Linked DNA regions of Notamacropus eugenii. The protein of the gene in region 1 interacts with the protein of each later gene in a pairwise test. Links are inferred from orthologs where the notes say so. Each region holds a gene or a part of one and is shown on either strand. Other genes may lie near its edges. The genes, in order: ARR3, ZNF496 and GNMT.

The links.
Region 2: the proteins of ARR3 (region 1) and ZNF496 interact in binary tests that used the Homo sapiens proteins (3 or more experiments, as listed by UniProt). The two-hybrid records come from large-scale screens. The link is inferred for Notamacropus eugenii from reciprocal best matches to the Homo sapiens genes ARR3 and ZNF496.
Region 3: the proteins of ARR3 (region 1) and GNMT interact in a two-hybrid assay, tested with the Homo sapiens proteins (2 studies listed by BioGRID and IntAct). The two-hybrid records come from large-scale screens. The link is inferred for Notamacropus eugenii from reciprocal best matches to the Homo sapiens genes ARR3 and GNMT.

The regions. Positions count from the first base shown.
Region 1 is NC_092879.1:100,599,124-100,606,071, forward strand, and holds the start of ARR3 (arrestin-C), read right to left. Parts: upstream 3,016-6,948; 5' UTR 2,918-3,015; coding exon 2,901-2,917; intron 2,648-2,900; coding exon 2,617-2,647; intron 2,492-2,616; coding exon 2,431-2,491; intron 2,268-2,430; coding exon 2,223-2,267; intron 383-2,222; coding exon 183-382; intron 51-182; coding exon 1-50. UniProt on the Homo sapiens protein: May play a role in an as yet undefined retina-specific signal transduction. Could bind to photoactivated-phosphorylated red/green opsins.
Region 2 is NC_092873.1:74,849,422-74,856,690, reverse strand, and holds the start of ZNF496 (zinc finger protein 496), read right to left. Parts: upstream 3,014-7,269; 5' UTR 2,925-3,013; intron 2,874-2,924; exon of another isoform or gene 2,787-2,873; intron 542-2,786; exon of another isoform or gene 1-541. UniProt on the Homo sapiens protein: DNA-binding transcription factor that can both act as an activator and a repressor.
Region 3 is NC_092873.1:105,860,066-105,867,009, reverse strand, and holds the start of GNMT (glycine N-methyltransferase), read right to left. Parts: upstream 3,094-6,944; 5' UTR 3,050-3,093; coding exon 2,844-3,049; intron 2,037-2,843; coding exon 1,909-2,036; intron 1-1,908. Other genes in the region: CNPY3 (protein canopy homolog 3), read right to left, coding at 6,328-6,545. UniProt on the Homo sapiens protein: Catalyzes the methylation of glycine by using S-adenosylmethionine (AdoMet) to form N-methylglycine (sarcosine) with the concomitant production of S-adenosylhomocysteine (AdoHcy), a reaction regulated by the binding of 5-methyltetrahydrofolate.

The DNA.
Region 1 (6,948 bases):
TCCTCGGGCCCAGGCTGCAGGGTCACTGAACAAGGCAGATTGGTGGGCAGCTGTCAAAGGGAGGGGGATATCAGAAGGAGGTCAGCAGACAGGAAGGTCAGGGCCTTTCTCCTACTTCCCCTACTCTCTGTGCTCCCCCCCCCCCCAATGCCCAGTTCTGTCCTCCAGGGCTTGGGGCTCACCTGGAAGGTAAAGGGATGGGCACTGTCACCCAGCTTTTGCAGCAGGCATTCTTGAAGGCTTGTGAGGGGCAATGGGGCTTGGGTGGGCTCTTTGGGGAAAACTTGCAGGGCCTGCACATAGAGGTCTTTTCGGAATGTCAGACCGATCACGTCCAGATCATCCCGGCCATAACGGAAGGCACAAGTCAGCACCACAAAGACTGCGGGGAAATGAGGAGGTACTGACATGGGGGCTGGGATGGGCTGGCCCTGAACAGGGCCCTGAATAAGCCCCACAGATGCAATCCAAAGGTAGCATGGCAGAGGGTTGGATTGGAGGCAGGGCTCAATGGGCTCATATCCTGCTTCTTATACTCACTAGCTAATCTCTTTGGGCTTCAGGTAACTCTCTGTGACTCTGTTTTAGGTAAGTACTGGTAGAGGGAGCTTCCAAACCAACAAAATCCCAGGTCCTTGGTGGTGTGACAGTATACTGCTGAGGCCTCATCCTTCTGCTGGCCTGTAAGCTCCCTGAAGACAGGGACTTCAGGATTTTTGTCTTTGTAGCTCCAGCACCTAGGACAGTGCCTGGTGCTTTATTTTAGTCAGTGTGCAATACGTGCTTATCAAATGACTGAGTGAATGTAAGAATAGAGCCCAAGTGAAGGAGGGGCAGAAAGGAGGACAGACAAGAGGGAGCCTCAATAGACTGGGGGGTGGGGAGATGAACAGCAAGGGTAACTAAGTGGTGCGATAGAGCACAGGGCCCAGAGTCAGGATGACCTGAATTCAAATCTGGCTCCAGACACTTAATAGCCATGTGACCCGGGGCAGGTCACTTCCCCCTGTTTGCCTCAGCTTCCTCATCTTTAAAATGAACTAGAGAAGGAAGCGGCAAACCCTTCCAGTATCTTTGCCAAGAAAACCCCAAGTGGGGTCACCAAGAGTCAAACGCAACAAAGATGACGTTAGGGTGCACAGGAGCCCTGGTCAGAAGGTGTCACCGTCCTTGGAAATGCTTATTGTTTGGTAGTGAAACTTTCCTTTCTGCCTTCAAAACAACTTGTCCACTTCTTTTTTTCAAGCTTGAAAGTTTATTTTCCAAAGAAATGTTCATTCTGGGAGGATCATTCTGAAGGCTTTGAGCTTTTCAACTTGGGAAACTCATTTAGCTTACAAGCGTGTTTGATGTGTCAAAGCTCTCCGATTGTCAGAGGCCTTTGAAGCCAATCCCCTCATTTTACAGAGGATGGAATGGAGGTAACACAGAGAGGCCTAGCAAGGGCAGAGCAGAGGCTCAGAAGTCCAGGCTCCTGACCCCCAGAACACTAGGCTCTCTCTGACCTCTCAGAGACACTTGAGCTGCCTCAGCTTACTGTGGCTAAAAGCTTCATTTAAAACCAGCTTTTAACTCATGAGTGATTTTCCAAATCGAGTCCATTTAGGAGGGTTAATATAGGAACCCAAAAACACCCCCCCCCCCAGGGGAAAGCCCCTAATTGCAATTCTTAGTACTGATCTGTCCGTGTCATTTCTTTAGCTGCCTCATCCATGAGGTTAAGTGCCTGGGCTTGGGGGCTTGTGGGCCTTTCTTATCTTGATTCCTGAATTGCTCTGGGACCCCCAGCTCCTCCTCTTCTCTTAGTGACTGGATCTCTTCTACTTGGGATGGGTTACTGACATTGGTTGGCGGGGTGAGACTCTGTAATGGCATCGGGACATTTTCTCTTTCTACCTAATTACTTTAGGACCTGGAGAAGAACAGCGTAGTTTCCCCATCCCAGACTCGAAAGATACAGACTCAAGAAAGATAGAAAGACACATACACAGAGCATAGGTGGGCTCTCTCTGTCTGGCTTTCTATCTTTGTCTCTGTGTTTGTCTCTCTGTCTGTCTCTGTTTCTGTCTCTCTCCATCTCTCTGTCTCTGTTTCTCTCTGTCTCTGTCTGTCTCTGGCTCTCTGCCTCTTTCTCTCTCTCTGTATCTGTGTCTCTCTCTTTCTCTCTTACATGTACACACACACACACACACACACACACACACACACATATGCCCCATTACCTTTTCGATCTTTCAAGTACTCAGGGTCAATCAGGACAACACCATCTGTGGAAGTGGATGAGAAGGCTTGAGGAGAGGTGCCCCTGGAAGGGATCTCCTGCACCCCCCCCCCCCATTTGCTTCCTTCTTTATTTCATGCCTTTATTTCAGGATCCCTCCCCTCCACCCTATTGATGTCAAGATCTCTGGCCATCTGGAGGTCACTGACCAATGGGTTCCACTGAGTCTATATGGTCCACAAAGTCTCGTTTCCCTAGGTAGATGGAAAGCTGTTGGAAAAAAAGCCCCTCCTGTAATTCTCCAAATCACACACCATGATCCCTCTGCTCAAACCTCCCTGAGATTGCTCAATGATGCACGTTGACCTCCCTCCCGCTGGCCTGGAGCCTCTCACCCTCCTATTGAGGCAGGTCTTCTTAAACACCCTGAAGAGTAGGAGACAAAATAGTTATGGGGAGGCAGGGTTTGTATGAAAGAAATGGTTGTTGCTGGAATTAGGGAGGAAATGGTGGTGAGAACATAGCTGGGAATGAGAGGGCAAGGCATGGGGTGAGGGTGGGAAGGCTGGGAGCTATCCCCCTATGCTCACAGCAAGCACTGTTGGGGAGATAGTGAAGACTGGGGGGTATGGAGCATGGGGTGCTCAGGGAATCACAGGGAGTAGAAAGGGTGTCTTACTTGGAGCTGGTGGCCATGGACTCAGTTTGGGAGCACTCCTTGGGTTGGGAGCTGAAAGTCTTGACGTGGGACTTGGTATCTGTGACCTCCTGGGTAACCTTGGGCAAATCACTCCTCTCTGGGCCTCAGTTTCCTGAGCTATAAAATGAAGGGGCTAGATGGGAGGATCTCCGAGGTCCCTTCCAATACCAACACCCACGACCCTCAGAGAGAGGAGGCTTCGGCAAGTTGGTTCCCTGGCACCTCTCCCCTTTGCCAGCTCCTGAGCCCCCAGGAGGACTTTCAGTTGGGGGGAGGATGGTAGATAGTTTACCACCTGGTGCCACAAGAGATTGGTTTCCTTGCTCTGTAACCCCTCTCCCTCCCAGCTGTCACAGGCCCTTCCTCACCCCTCACACACACACACGCACACACACGCACACGTTCTCCCTCATACTTCCCTGTCCTATTTTATATATGCATATAAATGCATATGTATATGTACATATGTACAAAGAACATATATATGTGTGTACATTTACATATACACAATGGAATATTCAATTCAGGAAAAATATACGTGCATTTTTTTCTTGAATAGGCTTGCTGCATATTTTTGGAGACTGGCTGTACTAATGCGTTGGAATTCCCTAATTGTCAGCTCTGAAGGGATAGGAAAGACTCCATCCAGAAGACTTAGACTGGGCGGGGTGCTTCCCAGGTTTAGCCACAGCATATATGCTAAAAGGGAGACCCTGGTGTCTATGGGAGAAGGGAAGTGAGAAGGAGAGGAAGCAGGCAGAATTGGTTAGGAGCAGAGAGAGAAGAGAGGGGAGAGGGGAGTCAAAGCTGGCACAGTCCTGAGCTTTGGGGGCTGGGGGCTGCTCTGCTAAGCTAAGGAAGTGATCTGACAGCCAGACTGTCCACATCTCTGTGTTCAGGGACTGGGGACAGGGAGAGAGAAGCAGGGCTGTGGCTCTGGTCAGAAGGAGAAGACACTTTCAAGGCAATAGAGGCAGAAGTACGGGGAACTAGGGCATACTGTTCTCAGCTTATTGAGGTCTCCAGATCCAAGCGCTCTGAGTGAGACCTGTCTCCTGGGCTTGCCTCTGTGCATCCTTCTGTCCCTGGAGGGCTAGACCATGTGCCCTCAAGCCTCCTCACAAAGGCTGCAAGCATCTTTTGGCTACTGAGGAAGTTTAATGAGCAGGAAAGATCATGGTCTCACAGACTTAAAGCAGAAAGGGCCCTGAGAGGTTAGTGATTCCAACCTGTTTGTTTAGAAGAAGAAGGAAGCAGAGGCCTAGAAAGGGGGAGTGATATTTCCAAGGTCACAAAGACACAAGATAAAGCAAAGTCTAGATTTATACTCAACTCCTCTGCTACAAAGTCTGTTGTCCATCCCCCTTTCTGATGTTCCCTCTCTAAGGGACCTCACTTATTGGAGGCAGAAGGTATCAGGTTCTTAAGTGGGAGTAAAAGAAGTGGGAACAAGGGCCAGGAACCTCCCTTTGACTCAGATCTCTTCTCCCTCCCCACCACTGTCCTCCCCAATCCGATCTCCTCATATTCTCATCCCAGTGCCTGCCTTCTAGCCCACAGTCCCATCGCCTCATGACTAGAAACATCACCAACACCATGAGTGATGCCTGTTGGGCCCCAGGGCTCTTTCTATGCCATCCTCTGGGAATGGAGGTCAGGCTGTGGAGGGTTATGCCAGGCTGGGGTTGAGGGGCCTAGGCCTAGACAGCTCCCAGACTCTCAGACCTGGGTGGCAGCTGGCTCAGCTGGAGGAGGGGCAATTTCCCCTCCCAAACATCCCCTGCTGATGTAGGATTGGCAGACATGGATGGACAGAGGGAGCATGAGATGGAACCGGAGGGGCAGGAAATGTTACCTGGAGAGAAATATGAAAGGCAGCCCAGCCTCCTGCTCTGCTTGCAGTGCTCTTGACCATAGCCCTTTTATAGCCCAGGTCCTTGGGGCAGAGGGGGCTCAGCCTGATTAACTTTGGGGTGGGAGGGGAAGAGAAATAGCATAGCCCCTAATAGCTCAAGAAATAAGAGTTTGGAAAGCAGATTATGAGCTAAGAGATTAGCTCCTAGTAGCAGGAGGTTGGACAGGGAGACTGTGGCAGACCTCCCCAGCGTCCTGTCCTGGAAATGCTCTTTCCCACTTCTTCTGGAATATTCCACCATGTCAGACTGGGTGGGAGAGGGAGTGTGGTCCCTGAGACTGGCAACCAGGCTCACTGGGACCTCGAGGACACGCTGGCTGTGATCTAGGTGATGTGAGTGATGCTACGTGTGGCAATGTAGAAAGATAGTTGGCCTGGGAGTCACAAGGCCCAAGCAAGGTCCTTTCTAGGTCTCAGGCAAGCCTCTTCATTTCTCACAACCTCTACTTTCTCATATCTAAAAGCAAGTTACTAGTCCCAGCAGTGTTGTAAAGCCCAAGTGAGGTGCATGTCTGGATAGATGGCCATTTACATGCATGTGTACGGATCACTGTGTAAGCTTTCAGTCAGTCAGCTGATTGATTGATTGACTGAGGCCCTAAATTGAAAAGAGAAGAGGGTCCAAGATGGAACCTTAGAGGACACTCATGCTTGGGAGCAGAAGACAGATCCAGCAAGGGAAACTGAGGAATCAGACAAGTTGGAGGAGGAAGACCAAGAGAGAGCAATGTCCCAGAAGCTCAAGGAGGGCTAAGAAGGAAATAATAATGACAAGGTCATTTTAAGAGAGTAGGAGAGCTGGAGGCCAAACTGCAAGGAATCTGGGAAGGACTAGACAATGAATGAAGGAGTCTGGGGGTTTTCCCCGAGGACTTTGGAAGTGCAAGGATGGTGAAATATGGGAGCACAGTTGGAGGGATGGCAGAGGCAAGGGGAGAACTTTTTTAAAGGATAGATTGGGATGTTTGCAAATGTATATCCTTCTAAGGTCTGCATATGTACATGTTTGCATGTAATAATATGCGTGTGTGTGTGTGTGTGTGTGTGTGAGAGAGAGAGAGAGAGAGAGAGAGAGAGAGACAGACAGACAGACAGATAGACAGAGACAGAGAGACAGGGAGAGATATAAGGAGTAAGGATGAGGAGGGGAGCCTGAACTTTCACTCTCGGGGGCAGGTAATACCTGGGATTCACAGGTCAGGGGCTAGGAGACCAGAAGGTACCAGTTGGAGCATGGTGCCTTCAGCATCAGCCCTTGGCTTGCAGCCTCCTTCTCCATCTGCCAGTCTCTAGGGGCCAAGCTAAGCCAATGTAAGTGATCCTAAGCAGCTCTAGTGCTTTGCCTGATAGAGACAGAGATTGACGCTGGGGTTTATTCTTGGCCCTCCAGTCTGCTTAGCTGCCCTCACCAGCCCTGCCCACAGGCAGAAGATGATCTCTGATCTACCTCGGAGCCAACCTTAACCTGCTTTTCCTGATGGTTGGTGTGGGCAGGCAGGGCTCACCCAGCTGGGAGCAGGGCTCTTATTTTTGTCCTTTTCATTTTTTAGAATTTCTTTTTTTGTTACATTTTGAGTTCTGAGCTGTCTCCATCCCTTTGTCCCTAACCTGAGTTAAAGAAGGCCAACATTTGACACAGGTCTACATACACACAGACATATACAGACATACACAGACATACACATATACATATATGTACAGACAGACACAGATACATACACAATACAGACACACAAACACATATACACATATACATACACACATGTACACACACACACAGAACCATACAATACATCCTTCTATCCGTCAGTTCTTTCTCTGGAGGTGCATGGCATTTTCCTTCGCCAGTCCTTCATAACTGTTTGGATGATCCCATTACTCAGGACGGCTCAGCCGTTCCCGGTTACTCTTTGAACAGTCTCTCTGTTACTGTATATGATGTTCTCTTGATTCTGCTCATTTCCCTCTGCGTTATTTCATGCAGGTCTTTCTGGGTCTTTCTACCACCAATGTGCTCAGTGGCAAGGCTCTTGCACCCTGCCTCGCCAGGGTCTTCTCTTTCCCAGGTCCCAGATACCCTGCTCTCCTCTCCTAGTCCTGCCTTAACCGAAG
Region 2 (7,269 bases), on another chromosome or scaffold:
CAAAAGTTAAACAGTTTCTGCCCTCAAGGAGTTGAGTTCCGTTTGGGGGAGCGAATATGTACATGTAAGAATATAAAACTATATATACTAGATGAACATAAAGTAATTTGGGGAGGCAGAGCATTAGCATTTTTGGGGATCAAGAAACACTGTATAAAAGGTGTTGATTGAATTTGATTTGGAAGCAAATTAGAGATCCTGAGAGGTAGGAGGGAAAGCATTCCAGAAATGCTGAACAATTATTAGGCAAAAGAGAATACTGCATAAAACTAGAAATGTAGGAAAGGCCCAGGTTATATACAGCTTTATATGTGTTTGTTGTTGCCGAAGAAGACCATGCCATCAGAGAAATAATAACATGACTTGTGCTTGACTTTGTTTTGAGTGAGGGAGAGTCACCAGCCTAACTTCTCCTCCAGAGCTATCTGAATCCAGTACCAGATATTCATCAGGATGACTGGGGATGACCCAGGATGAGTCACTTTGGGTTAAGTGACTTGCCCAAGGTCACACAGCTAGTGAGTGTCAAGTGTCTGAGGTGAGATTTGAAGTCAGGTTCTCCTGACTCCTGCAATGGTACTCTATCCACTGTACCACCTAGCTGCCCCATACAGCTTTATATGTTTATATTTGATCCTAGAGGTATCAGAGTCACTGTTTGGGAGTTTACTGAGTGGATGAGTAACAAGGTTAGACCTTCACTTGAGGAAAATCACTTTGGCAGGAAGATGGATTGGGATTGGGAGAAACTTGAGGCAGAGAGACCAAATAAGAGTTTGTCGCAATATGATAGGTATTAAGGCCCTGAATTAAGGTAGTAGCTGTTACTGGAGAAAAAGAGACCTATGAGAAAGACGTTAACATAGAAATAACAAGATTTTGCAACTGATTGCATATGTGAAATGAGGAAACTGAGAAAATCAAGGCAACCTTGTTTTAGAAATAATAATTACTGAATTCTTAGACATTTTTTCTCATGTTATCTTAAGCATGAGAGAACAAAAATAAGAAAGGGGGGTGAAATGGGAAAGAAAAGGAAGGCAAATGGGGAAAGGGTAGGAAGGGAAAAGATGAAAAGGAGAAACAGGTCTGAATTAGGCTACTATCAACAACTAACTGGTCCCTTGGTGGAAGAGAGTGAAGATTTAATTATATCATGTTAGATCTTAAAAGGAATTTTATAATGCATTACAAAAGCAGTCTTGCATAGTGGAAAGATTTGGATTAAGTCCTAACATTTTTTGATCTTTCACTGAGGAACAAAATTCTCAATCTAGCACTTTTTCCATGTTACCCTGATTCAGTTCTATCTATTTCATGTTCTGTTTCCTAAACTGCTTCATTCACCAAGTAGTAGGCTGAGCATGCAGGAGAAGATTGAAGAGACCCATTCTTCCCGTTTCTCTTAGTAAAGCAACACCTCAGAAACTCTCACCTCAGACACTTGACACTCACTAGCTGTGTGACCTTGGGCAAGTCACTTAATCCTAATTGCCTCATCCTGGGTCATCTCCAGTCATCCTGATGAATATCTGGTCACTGGATTCAGATTGCTGGTGAGGCTGGAGGAGAGGAGAAGTGAGGCTGGTGACCTACACAGTCCTCTCTCACTCAAAACAAAGTCAAGTACAAGTCATGTCATTATTTCTCCGATGGCATGGTCTTCCTCTGCAAGGAAGGACGAACACAGTAAAGCAACAAGTATCATCCATGGCCAAAAGTCTCCTTTCTGTCCTCAGCAATTCAGCAAACATCCAAGACAGAGTCATGATCAGGAATCATTTGAAGTAGTGAGAAGAGTCTCAGCTATGACCCTTTTGAGAAAGAAGTCATTGCGAAGGTTGTGGAGCCAGGTCAGACTGTGCCAAGGAAACAAAGCTCATAGAAAATTTTGAGCCAGGTAATCGACTTACGTGATCTGTGTATCCACAGACAGCAGCAAATGATTAGTGTTTATTTTCTGGATATTTTGTATTTATTTATATGTATACCTGTTATTTTCCCCGATACAACATAAGTTACTTGAAGGCAGGGGGATCTTTTTTTGGGGGGGAGGGGTTTATTTGTAGAGAAGTAGTGTCTGGCATAAAGAAGGTACTTAATAAATCCCGGTTAACTGATCGACCGTTAAAGATGGTTGCTAGGTAAGGGTGAGCCAGTGTTTAAAAGAGTATCAGCATGCCAACTCATCCTTCTACGAGGGAAAAAGGAGTGAGCCTTGGAGAGCATATAAAGGCGCCTGATGTTTACAAGAGAAGGCTAAGTTTCAGTAAATACCACAAAAACTTAGTTCTGTTAAAGAGACCGGGGTAAAAATTTTGAGTCAGAAGGGCCACTGGAGATGAGCAAATCCACCCCCACCACACACGCCGTTCTATACGTGATGAAACAGAGGCCCACCGAAAAGGAATCTGTTTAAGGCCACAGGCCTAAGGGGGGAGTCGGGCTTTCGGCCGTCCGACTGTCCATCCTGCCACTGCACCACAGTAAAGGAAGGGGCCCCCAGAAGGCAGGGGAAACGCGAGGCGGAGCGGGAGAAGGCTAGTGACGGGTTTTCCGTTGGTGGGGAGAAGCCTCCGGGTACCCGAGGGTACCCAGGGCCGGCGGCCACCGAGCGGGGTCGAGGGCCGGCTTGGAGAGGACCCGACAGTGGCAGCCACCGGCCGGGGCGGGAAACGAGCCGAGGCTTCCCCCGGGATGACAGTATGTGAGGCGGGGCCCCGGCTACTTCCGGCCCGGAACCCGGCCTCCCCCGAAACGGCGGGGCCTGCCCGGCCTCCATTTACCTCGGAGTGGCGGCGGCTGGGGTCCGGCCGTGGGCCTGCCCCGCTCTCCCCCTCCTCGTCCGGCCCGCTCTCCTGGCGGCACCGCCCTCCCCTCCCCCCGCCGCAAACACAGTCGGTTGGCCTCTCGCTCTTTCTTACCCTTCACCTCAGGACTGATCGGAATCTTTGCACTCAGTCTCCGGGCTTCTTCACTTCATCTCCATTCGCTTGGCGAGGACTTGGGGAGAGCCCAGAGGAGAACTGCTGATTGGCTCCAGGCGGTGACGTCACACGGGAAAAAGTTCGGACCCAAGAAACCTCTGCCGGCAGGTGGCGCAGCTCAGCCGCGGGTCTTGGGCCGGCTCCGTTTCCTCCGCGAGGAGAAGGAAGTTACCCAAAGGAATGTATCCCATAGGCTGAAGGCTTCCCTTTTTAAACCCGTTCGGAAGTGTCTTCTTACGGCTTTGGGATGCTTCGACTTGAAGAACAGCGTAGGCTGATCTAGAAGGGCTTCTTAAAAGAGAGAGGGCTGCCCTCGGGCCTTCTGCGAACGGACCGCCGGGCCTTCAGAAGCCAAAGAGGTGTCTTTGGAATGTCCGGTGTTTGCAGAGGAGACCATGTAGATCTCAGCCACTCCGGGCTTGGGCAGCACGCCCCCTGAGCACGCATGTTGATTTCACTGCTTCCAGAAATGTTGCAGCTTCTCTGCTGTGTCGTCTTCATTTCCAGCGACGCTAAAGTACAGTCATCTATTAGATGTCTCAATGCAATTAAGGCTGGACTTTGTAGGAAGACCAGACGCAGTCCTTTAAAGTCCTTAGATTCGTTCCTGAAATGAATACAATGTTGCACACAGACAAGGGATTCATTAACCACAAAGGTTGAGCAGGAGTGAAGTGTGGTGGTTAGCGTTGGATTACAGGGAATCCCTCCAACTCTATCTGTGTGATCATGGTCAGGTTAATCTGGAAAACTGGAAAGAGTACTGGCGGTAGTCGGTTCAAATAGGTTCAAATCCTGCCTTTGGTGTTTACTCCCTGTGTGACCTCGGAGGTCATATAACGTTCTCAAGCCTCAGTTTCCTCATCTGTAAAATGAGGGCTTTGAACCAGGAGATTCTGAGGTCCTTTCCAGCTCTGAATCTAATAATTCAATGATCTTTTGTAGATAATAATACTTGCAGCATCTACTTAACTGTTCGTGTGAAGTAAGGTGCTTTTTTAAATCTTAAAGACTATTCAAAAACATTTCTTTTTAAAAATTAATTTGTTTTCTGTTTTCTATTAAAACACCGAATAGAATAGAAATAGAATTTCTATCTAAAAAAAAACCATTTCTTGAGCTATTACTTGTGGAATGATACTGTGCTTGAAGCCGTAAGGGAAACAAAATAAATTGGAGTATCTATTCAAGGATAAGACTAATATTAGTTAACATATAGATCTGCTTTAAGGTTTGCAAAGGATCTGTGAGTTCATTGGAATGGGTTATACTCCTCCTTAGACTTATACTAGAATTTATTAGGCAATTGTAATAGAACTGTAATAGTAGAAAAATTCATTATGCTGTGTAACCAGCTTGATCATGAGTCTCAGTAAAAAATTTTTTGACGATACTGCTGTTTTTAATCATTCAAATAGCTCATTATCTGTTTCAAATTCTTTATTATGCACAGTCGCACAACTTGAAGCTGGTTAAATACAGTTCTCATAATTCTTAAATACAGTTTTTAGATTATAATATGTGACTTTACCATGAAAGTATTTGGCATTTAATAAAATTCTTAACAGGCACCTTACATGAGGGTAAAAAAATCAATCTGTTTCCATTCCCAGACACCCACAGTACATAGAATCGTCTGCCAATAAGAAAAATTGAGTACTGACTTTTGTCAAAGTGGCATAGTAGGAAAACAGTTCTTAGAGAAATGTAGTCAAGATGATTTAGCTTATTCATAATATAAGGTTAATTGACAAGGCTTGTACTGAAGTTTACAAAAAAATTATCTTAGGTGGTTCATGAACCTTAAGAGCAAGTGACTTTGCTGTGTATCAGATGAGAAATATATATATATATACGTATATACATATATATACGTATATATATATATACACACACATGTATACACATATATAGTTATAGTTATAATAGTACATATGTATAATTAAGTACATATATATAATACATCTAAGAACTGAACTCATACTTGTGAACATATGTTCACAAGTACAACCTTCTCTTAAGAATCTGAACAAATGAGGACTTAAATTCAGTGATAAACAAAATTAAGACAGACACTATGTATTTCCTAGAAAAGTTAGCTTGTGAAATCTGAGTTGTGACTGTTTAGAGCTACAGTTTAACACAAGTATCTTTAAGAAGATATGAATCGGAGATGACACAGAGTCCATTTATCCTAACAGTTAATAGGTTTGTGAATTTAAGAATTGGTGTTTTCTGCACACATATCTAAAATTTCCCTAATACTTAAAAAGTAAAATACCTTAAAGTACAGGGGGAAAAATCTTATATGAAAATTCACAATTTTAAATTATTAACACTGTAGAAAATCTACAGAAGGGCTGTAGACTAAGAATGGCAAAAAGAGACAATGGAACTAAAATTGTGATCAACCCACTACGTTATGTATTTCCTTAATTTGCAAGGTTGTAATGAAGCTATAAATTTAAAACATTATGGAATGGGAGACTTAGAACAAAAGAATCATATATAAACCTCTCAGACGCATACAAGACTTCTAAAATATACTCAGTGAAAGGTGTAGGCATAGAATACCTAGTTGTAAATTTTTACATAACACCATAACCACTTGAACTTTCTAATATCATCCAAACACAGGTCTTGTTTTGAAAAGAATATCAGTGATCTGGAAATGGATGGGGGCAGGAAGTTTTATGATCTATAATCCTATAGGAGGAATATGAAATTACAAAACATCAACCTACACAGATGAAATATTTAACTGTTTAGGCTTATGCATATCTGAATGCATATTATCATCAAATCAAAGTATGAAGTAAAAAAAAAAAAAGACAACACCCTGGCAATTTGAGGAAGTTCCAATGTTTCAGGGAAAAAATATTTTGAAGAACATTTAGTAGTATAACAAAATAAATACAGCAGGATCAGATTAAGGGTAACAGTTATAAATGAAATTTTGGCCTATTTTTCCCCTGTAGGTTGCAACCATCTTGACTTTTTTGAACTTTTACAGTTTTCCCTCATGCTTAATTCAGATTTGAGGCTGCTTAACATACACCTGTGATTCTAGAGATTCTGCTGGTGAAAGTTTTTTTTTTTTCTCTTGTCTCTTCAGTTTCTCAGAAGCTCTTCTCTATAAAATGATCTCCTACTGCTTGAAGTACCATTTGCCTTCCTCATTCATGAGGACTAGGTTGCAAAAGTATCTTACTTGGAAATTTTTCTTCACATCTTATTGTTAGAGTTGGGTCATACCCTCCTGGAAAGAGTCAGTTCACCTTTAGCTTGTATCCTATCCATTATTTCATATTTAGTTATGGTCCTAAATGCTGGGCTTAATTCTAATGATCTCTTATATTGGCTATAACTCCATATGCTCAATTTTTGTTCTTTCTAATAAGAATTATTTTCCAATAATGACATCTTTTGAATGATATTTTAAAGATTTATTATATTCAGATTCTACATATAGACAATTTCAATGCTGATGTCCATCTTTATAGAGATGTTAGCATCAGGATGGGTTCAAGGTGACAAGCAATAAAATCATACTTATTTTATTAGCACTTTAAGAAAATAATTTTCTTGAAACAGATTCACCATCGTAGAAGAGGTAGTGTTTTTCTACTTTGCTAACTTCTCTGTGAGAAAACTTACTGTCCATCGTTAACCTGAACAGAAACCCAAGCCCAATCATTAATAAATTTAGCTAAATTGACCCTTCAGTCCTGGATTTTCATCACTGTAGGTAGGTCTTTCCAACTTGGTAGAACAGGCAAAACTTGAGTTCTACTGATAAATCTTCTTAGAACTGGGATAAACAGTTACTAACAAGTTTAAAATCTATAGGGAAGATTAATGGTTAGAAGAGTGACATGAAAGGTCATTTAAACAGTCTACATTTCCCACATGTACTCTAGCAAAAATGTAAAAAGGCACAAGATGAAATGACGGTCAAAAAGTTCAAAGAGAAATGATAATAAATGCCTTCATCCAGACCAAAATCGAAGAAAAAGTCAGAAATTGTGGTCACTGGGAGAGAGATTCCACTAGGGAAGCCAGCATCAGCCCAGAAAACAGGCTGAAAGTCTACACCTGAAGAAGCACCTGAGGCTTGCAACCTTGTGAGGGGAAAGCCTAAATTCTGTGGAAGTTCACAATGTGGTCAGATGGGAGCCCTCTGGCAGCAGGAGCCAGCAGTGCTCTGACCTAGATACTTGGCATAGTGGGACTGGAGTGGGAAATTGAAGATTGCAACACTCCGACCCAGAGTAAAACAGAT
Region 3 (6,944 bases), on another chromosome or scaffold:
ACCTGAACAACAGGCTTTCCGCTGTAGTCCTGAAGAGGCAAGCAGCCACATGGGCTTCTTTTTGGGCAGGGGGGGAGAGGAGGGGATATACGTGGATCCCACCAAAGGAGTAAGGCATAGGTGCATTGGTACTCTCACTGTTAAATTTTCAGTATAAACACACCACAGAAATTGGCAAATGACAGGAATATGGATTTGGTTTACAGTTTTGTTGATTGTCTAGACTTAGGAAAGTGATGGAGAAAATGCTGTGATTAAACCAAAAAGGGTGTTGAGTGTAAGCTCCCAGAACTTACTAAACGTTAGTGCACTCCTGGACTAAAGTAGCGATTTAGGGACGTAAAAGTAGAGGGCCCCCACAGGGAGGGTAGGGGTAGGGCAGAGCCAGTAAGGAGGGATCTAAAGGACAGAGATTATGGCTGCTGAGCTCCCTTGGCCCATCCAAGTAGCATGCAAGGAAAGGGTCCAGTAGAACTGGAAGAGCAGTTACAGAGTCACCTCTTTGGTTCCCATCCTCAGACCCTACCTCCTGTTTCCCTTTGCTATTTAAGTCTATTCCTTTGGGAGAAGTCAGAGGGAGCTGCTTTGCCATGGACAGAGGGAAACAATCACCATCCCCTTCGTTGTTTCCTCTACCCCAGGACCTTCCCTACTGGTTCTTATAAGGTTGTCACATCTGTAGGAAGCAGATAGCTGTCCTTTGCCCCATGAGTGGCGTCCTGACCTGTTGGGCTTTAGTCCTTACCTGGTCTAACGACAAGAATGATACCTCTTTCCCTGTTCCCATTCCCAAAGAGGTATCTTCCAGTTAGAAATAGCACTTCCAAGTTTCCAAAGCACTTACTACATCATTGTTTTCTCATTCAGTCCCTCTAACAACCTTACACAACATGCAAGGCAGTGATTAATAGCGACATTTGGCAAATGAGAAAACTGAGGCTGAAGAAGATTGAGAGATTTGTCTCAATGTCAGAGCTGAGTAAATGGCAGATGGAGGATTAAAAAGCGAATGGCCCAATCCCATGCCACCAAAGCAAGGAAGACAGGCAAAACTTTTAGAGACCCAAACCTCAGGGAAAATGAAGAGGGTTGGAGAAAAATTGAGGGCTAAGGACAAGGGACAGATCCCTGTGTCACCTCAAGAAGGCTTGGCTTTGAAGTCAACCATGGAAGGAGACACTAAGCCCTTAGGTCCCTGTCCTTAAGAGACAAGAGCCCCTGAAGGGAAGCTACAAAATTAAGGCATGAATCAGGAGCAGAGAAGGTAGAACAAGAAGAACCCAAAAATACTTCCTTGCAGACTCAGAGTTAAGAGCTAGAAGGAAAGTTAGATCTGATCACAGACTTTGGGGCTAGAGGTGGCAGCGATCTTGGAGGTCATCAGTGAGGTCTCAGCCTCTCATTTTACAGGGAGGAAAGGAGGCACAGAAAGGGGGAGCCTGCGGCCTCGAGGACACACGTGGCCTTCTAGGTCCTCGGGTGTGGCCTTTTGACAGAGTCCAGGTTTTACAGAACAAATCCTTTAATGAAGGGGATTTGGATTCAGTCAAAGGGCCGCACCTGAGGGGCTAGAGGACCCTATGTGGCCTCAAGGTCGCAGGCTCCCCAGCCCTCGGTGATATTCAGGGTCACAGCCTGGGGCAGTATTCCAGCTCCAGTCTTTACTAAGTCCACCACACTCACCTAGCTGCTCCATCTTTCTGCCCATTCCCACACTATCATTTTACAAGGAAGAAACTAAGGACCAGACAGAAGTGACTTGTTCTAAATCACACAGCAAGTCATGGCAGAACCAGGACTAGAATTCAGGTCCTCTGACACTTAGCTCAGAGTGCTTCGGAGGACAGTATGTGGAGGATGCTGGTTCTCTGTATGGCCCCTCTGTTCCTGTGCCAAGATCCCACATACCCCACTTGTCAAAGGCCTCCTCGTGACGACGGTTCCACCGTTCTTTCAGGGCATACTTGAGCATCTTGTCACTGGCGTCCACACTGGTCACTTTGAAGCCCTCTTCCACTAGCATGATGGAGTCCACCCTGTGCCAGGCCCAGCAGGCAATGACAGGATTGGACGGGGGGAGAGGAAGAGGGAAGGAAAGATGAGCCAGAGAAGATGGGGAGAATGATTGGAGGGAGAGGATTAGAAGGGTAGAGGGAGAGGAATGATGGAGACAAAGCAGGTTTTAGAAAGAACAGGGATAGAAAGGACAGTTTTAGAATGGGAACTGAGGGTCAAGGGAGAAACTGGGGACTAAGAAGACTAGAAGGAGGAACCCAACATTTGTGAGTTACCCCTGACATTGATCCCCCCCCACAACATACTTTTTACCCACTGAATCAAAAAACTTCAGAATTGGAAGGGAACCCAGAAGTCATCCAGTTTAACTCAGCCAAAGCATGACTCCCCTCTATAGCAACTCCAACAAGTGATCATCTCAGACAACATTTCAAGAACTCGTGACTTCCTTTCTCACAACCACCAGAGACAGTCCATTTTACTTTTGAAAAAAAGATCCTTTAACACCTTCCTAGTCTGTTTTCCACCATGCCCTTACTTCCAGCTCACCCCATTTCCCTTATATGTGCACCCCCACAACTCATGCCTATCTCACATACATGTCCATTTTTGCCATTCCCATCCCCTCTGTTTTCCCTGTTGCCATTCCCAAAGAGGTATCTTCCAGTTAGAGATCTACCCAATTTCTGATGACTTTCTACCAGGGCAGGATTTTTTCCACCTAGCTCCCTTCTGCCTCAGGAGCATTCTGGTCTCGCCTGTCCTCCAAACCTTTTTGACCCTGGTGTCCACCCCTACCTCCTGTGCTGTCCTTGCCCCAGCTTTACCCAGTGCCACAAGCCACATCAAGGACATGCTGGCAGCTGTGTTGACGCAGCAGCCCCAGGAGCCAGGCCTTGTATTCTGCTGTACGGCTTCGGGTGTCACCTATGTATAGCTGCCAGACCCGGGCTGCCTCCCCATCAGCAAACTGGTCCGGAAGTCCCTCAGCTGCCACTCCCAGGGAGCGAGTCCGGTACACACTGTCTGCCATCCTCTCAGTTCCACCTGGCCCCTCAGCCACCTGCCAAAGTTCTTATAAGGCTGCCCTGGCTCTTTCTGCCCTGCCTGCCTCACCTGTCCAATGGCAGGTGAGATCCAGGACACGCCCCCATCTGGTCTTCTCCCAGAGCCAGGAACCAGCTGTTCCTGATCTCCCAGACCCTGTGAATGGCCTTACTTCTTTCTATCCCTCCTCCCTAACTGCTAGCAAGAGAGGGGCATGTCATGTGGGAGATCTCCCCTCCAACTCGATCCCAGGTATCCAAGGGAAAGAGAAACAGAACACACCCAGGGATTCTGGGAACCAAGGATGGCAGGAAAGGCAAACTAGTTAACTCTCCAAGACCTCAGCTAGAAGGGATCAAGCTGTGTGTGTCAGGGGGTAACCATGTCTTTGTCCACATAGGCATCAGGCATGAAGTAGGAACAACAGATGAAGAATTGGGGGGTGGGTAGATGGATTAATGAATCAGAGTTAGGTCAGGTCATAATATCTTATCTCCAATTCATCTTACAACTCTTCCTCTCCATGTACCCCCATACTTGGAGGTAGTTATTATTCAAAGCAATTAGCCCAATTTCTTATATGTCTAACACAGCAAGCCAGCTCCTAGCTTCTCCAGGGCTTCTTCTGGTGAACTGGTCCAAGGCAGTAGGGTCTATAGAGGTGAGTGGGCTCTAGATGGGGGGAGGGGTTGGCATGGAACCAGCATATCAGCTTTAGAACATTGGACTTGAAGTGAGCAGAACTGGCTTCAGCATCATTTTTTTTTTTTTTTAAATCTGGTGGAAGATACAGAACTAGGTGGGAGTAGGCAGGGGAAATGGAGCTTAAATGTTTAGAGGGCAAGGGTGGCAGGGCTTGCAACACACAGAACTATTGTGTTACCAGGTTCTCCAAAGATCCCAGGATGTGGAGGGGAGGCAGGGCAGAGGTCAGAGAACATGTTACGAACATGGGAGAGGAGGAAGGGCTCCTGGCTGCTTAAACACCAAAGGAACAGTGATAGTCTAGTTGTTGAGGGGAAAGGTCAGGGTCATACTGGAGTCAAATTCTCTGCTACTACACAGGATTGGGCAGCCTGGCTGCCACCCCAGAAAGAGGCCAAACCTCTGCCTAAGAAATCAATGAAATAAATTCTGCATATAGAGGGATGGGCTCTCTCTCTCTCTCTAGCTTTTGCATAGAACAGTCTTTTCTAGTGAAAACTTTGAAAGTTATCAGATGTTGGCAAGAGAAACAGATTGAGGGGTCAAGGATGTGACCTGCTTACATTATGCCCAGCCTCAGTCCCTTCCCTACTTCACCTTCAGTTTTGTTCCGAGTGTCAGGCCCGGGTATCGAGGTCCAGAAGAGGGAAACTCCATACCCATGGGGAAACTGGGCCAGTTCTGGTGACTTTAGAAAAAGGTTCACTTGGGTCCCACCTCATCTAGGATATTAGGGGAGTGGCAGCAGGGCCCTGGTAGAAGTAATCTCTAAGGGCCAGGTTCTGCTTTTCTACAATCTGTGGCAGGAGAAATGTCCAGGCCAGAGAAGACAAGAAGCTTGCAATTCTCCAGGCCAAGGCTGCCTTAACTCCTCAGAGTGGGGGGAAGACTGGCTAGATGCTGGGACTTCTGAGTTCACAAAGGCACTCCATCATAGCCAGAGGCCTCTCAGTAATGCCCATTTGTTGGCCAGTGGGCCTGGACTTGGGCTGGATGGTGACAGGACAAAGTAGGGTCATTTTCAGTTCTAAATTTGAGGAGGCAACGATGGCAAGTCCTTCAGTATTCCTCATCCTAGATGATGGCTGCTACCTTTTTAAAGAGGAGGTGTGGGAGAACAAATCAAACCAGTTCCACAACTGTGCCCTGCACCATTAGTGCCAGGTGTTGGAGGCCCTGGGTCTGGCTGCTCCTGGTCTTGACTTCAGGACTAGCAGGGGAGGGACAAAAAGGGCCCCTTCACCTCCCCTAACTTCAGAGGGCATCATGTAAGGCGCAGGTGTTGGCTGGGGTGGGGGAGGAGAGTCCTATATGGTGCGTTCTAAAGGAACAGAAAAAAACTGGGGGGAGTGGAGGGGCAGGGAACAAAGTGCAATAGCAGGGTGCAGCCCTGAAGAGGGGAGCAGTAAACACGTTACATAAAACCTGGCATCACAGAGGAGGGACTAGGGTGAACAAATTCATAAAGGATGTCCGGTGGAGGTGACCAGGCAGAAGGGAGAAAAAGGAACAAAGGAGCCTGCTGCCAGGGGGTTGGGAAGACTACCAGATTCTAGAGCAGAAAAGGAAAAGGCTCCAGGAAGTCGAGTGGGAACAAAGGCAGCTGTCTTTTCGACTATTACTCTAGAATGGGGTGTTTAAAAATGTCCTTGTTGTAGTCACTTTTCAAGGCCCAGCTACATCAGGGTAGGGGCTGATGTGAAGCTGAAGGTGGAGGAGGAAAGCTTCCATCCAACTAGGTTAAAATGAGGCCACAGAGCCCTCTCCCCTGTGCCTACTCCTAGCATTCTCTACCTTCCCCTCCCCACCCTCCATGTACAATCTCCCCACCACTCTCAGGATTCCCTCTTCGCTCTTGCTCTTCCAGATCAGCTTGTGAGAACTACCCAGAATAAGTGGGAAATAAGGGCCAAAAAGGGTTCACTCCCCTTTGCACCATTCTTATGCCAAGAACCATGAATTATGGGTAGAAGAATGAGAGGAAAGCCAATTGAGAGGCACATAAAGGGAGGTTAGGACACTGAGTAAAAAGGCCAAATATTTTTTACTCTGCACATTGTGCAGTAAAATGAGTTGGAGAGGGGCAGAGACTGGGTGTCACATGGCTGGGGGGGGGTGGTGCGGCTAGAGCCCTGGGGAAGACAGCCTAGACCAGGACTGGAGTGAGGAAGGCCTTCCTGGTGGGGCTGGGGCCAGGAGAGAGGTGTTTCTGGAAGAAGGAGGGGGTGCACCCATGGGACAATGAGGGATGGAGTCCTCCCTGAGGGCTCAGCAATGCTCAGACCCATCCCTCGAAGGTTTATAATGCAGTTTTTAGCTCTGGGGCCATCACACAGCTCTTCTTCCAAGCCCAGGGGCAAAGCGGCTGCCTGGAAAGGAAAAGGAAGGGCAAGTTCTGTAGTCCTCAGCGAGACAAGGGCACAGCAGGGGGTGCAGTGAACCCCCAGAACTGGGGAGTCCACCCTTGTCTGCTGGAGGCACAAGAGAAAGCAGAGTGTCCCTCAGCCAGGGGCTTCCCTCTGCACCCCTGGGACAGCAGCTGGGGCGCTCGGTTAGATTCTACAGTTCATCGGTGGGGCTGTGTGTGAGAGGGGAGGGTTTCTGGACACCCTCGTCCTCCTCAGGATGAGGGTCCTCATCTAAGTTTCTGGGATCCTTCCTTTGCTTGCCGCTCTTCTTGCTGGACGCCTTGCCTTTGCCCCCCTTTTTCTTGGCCTTCTTCCCTCCGAGGGCTGCTGTGTCCCCTTTCTTGCCGATCCATTGTTCAGTCAGGCAACCTGGTGAGGGAGAGGGGAAGGGACAGGGTGCTCAGACGACCAACAAGGACCAGGAGAGTTCATCTGCCAAGTACCTGATGGGCATCAGCTGCTGGCTGAGGCCTAGTGTACTAAGGCTTAGGAAAGGCAGCATGCCAGGGATACAAGGGATGGCTTTGTATTCATTCAGGAAGCATGCATCTCAAATGAGAAGTGGATTCGAATCCCAGCTCCAGTGTTTGTTGGCTATGTGACACTGGGCAATTTACTTAATCTAAGCCTCAGTTTCTTTATGTATAAAATGGGGAAAACAATACTTCCATGATTTAAAGCATTCTGATCAACTGTGATTTGAGAACGTGATTCAAAAGCCTGATCCTCATCATGCTACCAACCTCGTGCCCGGGACCAATGTGTTCC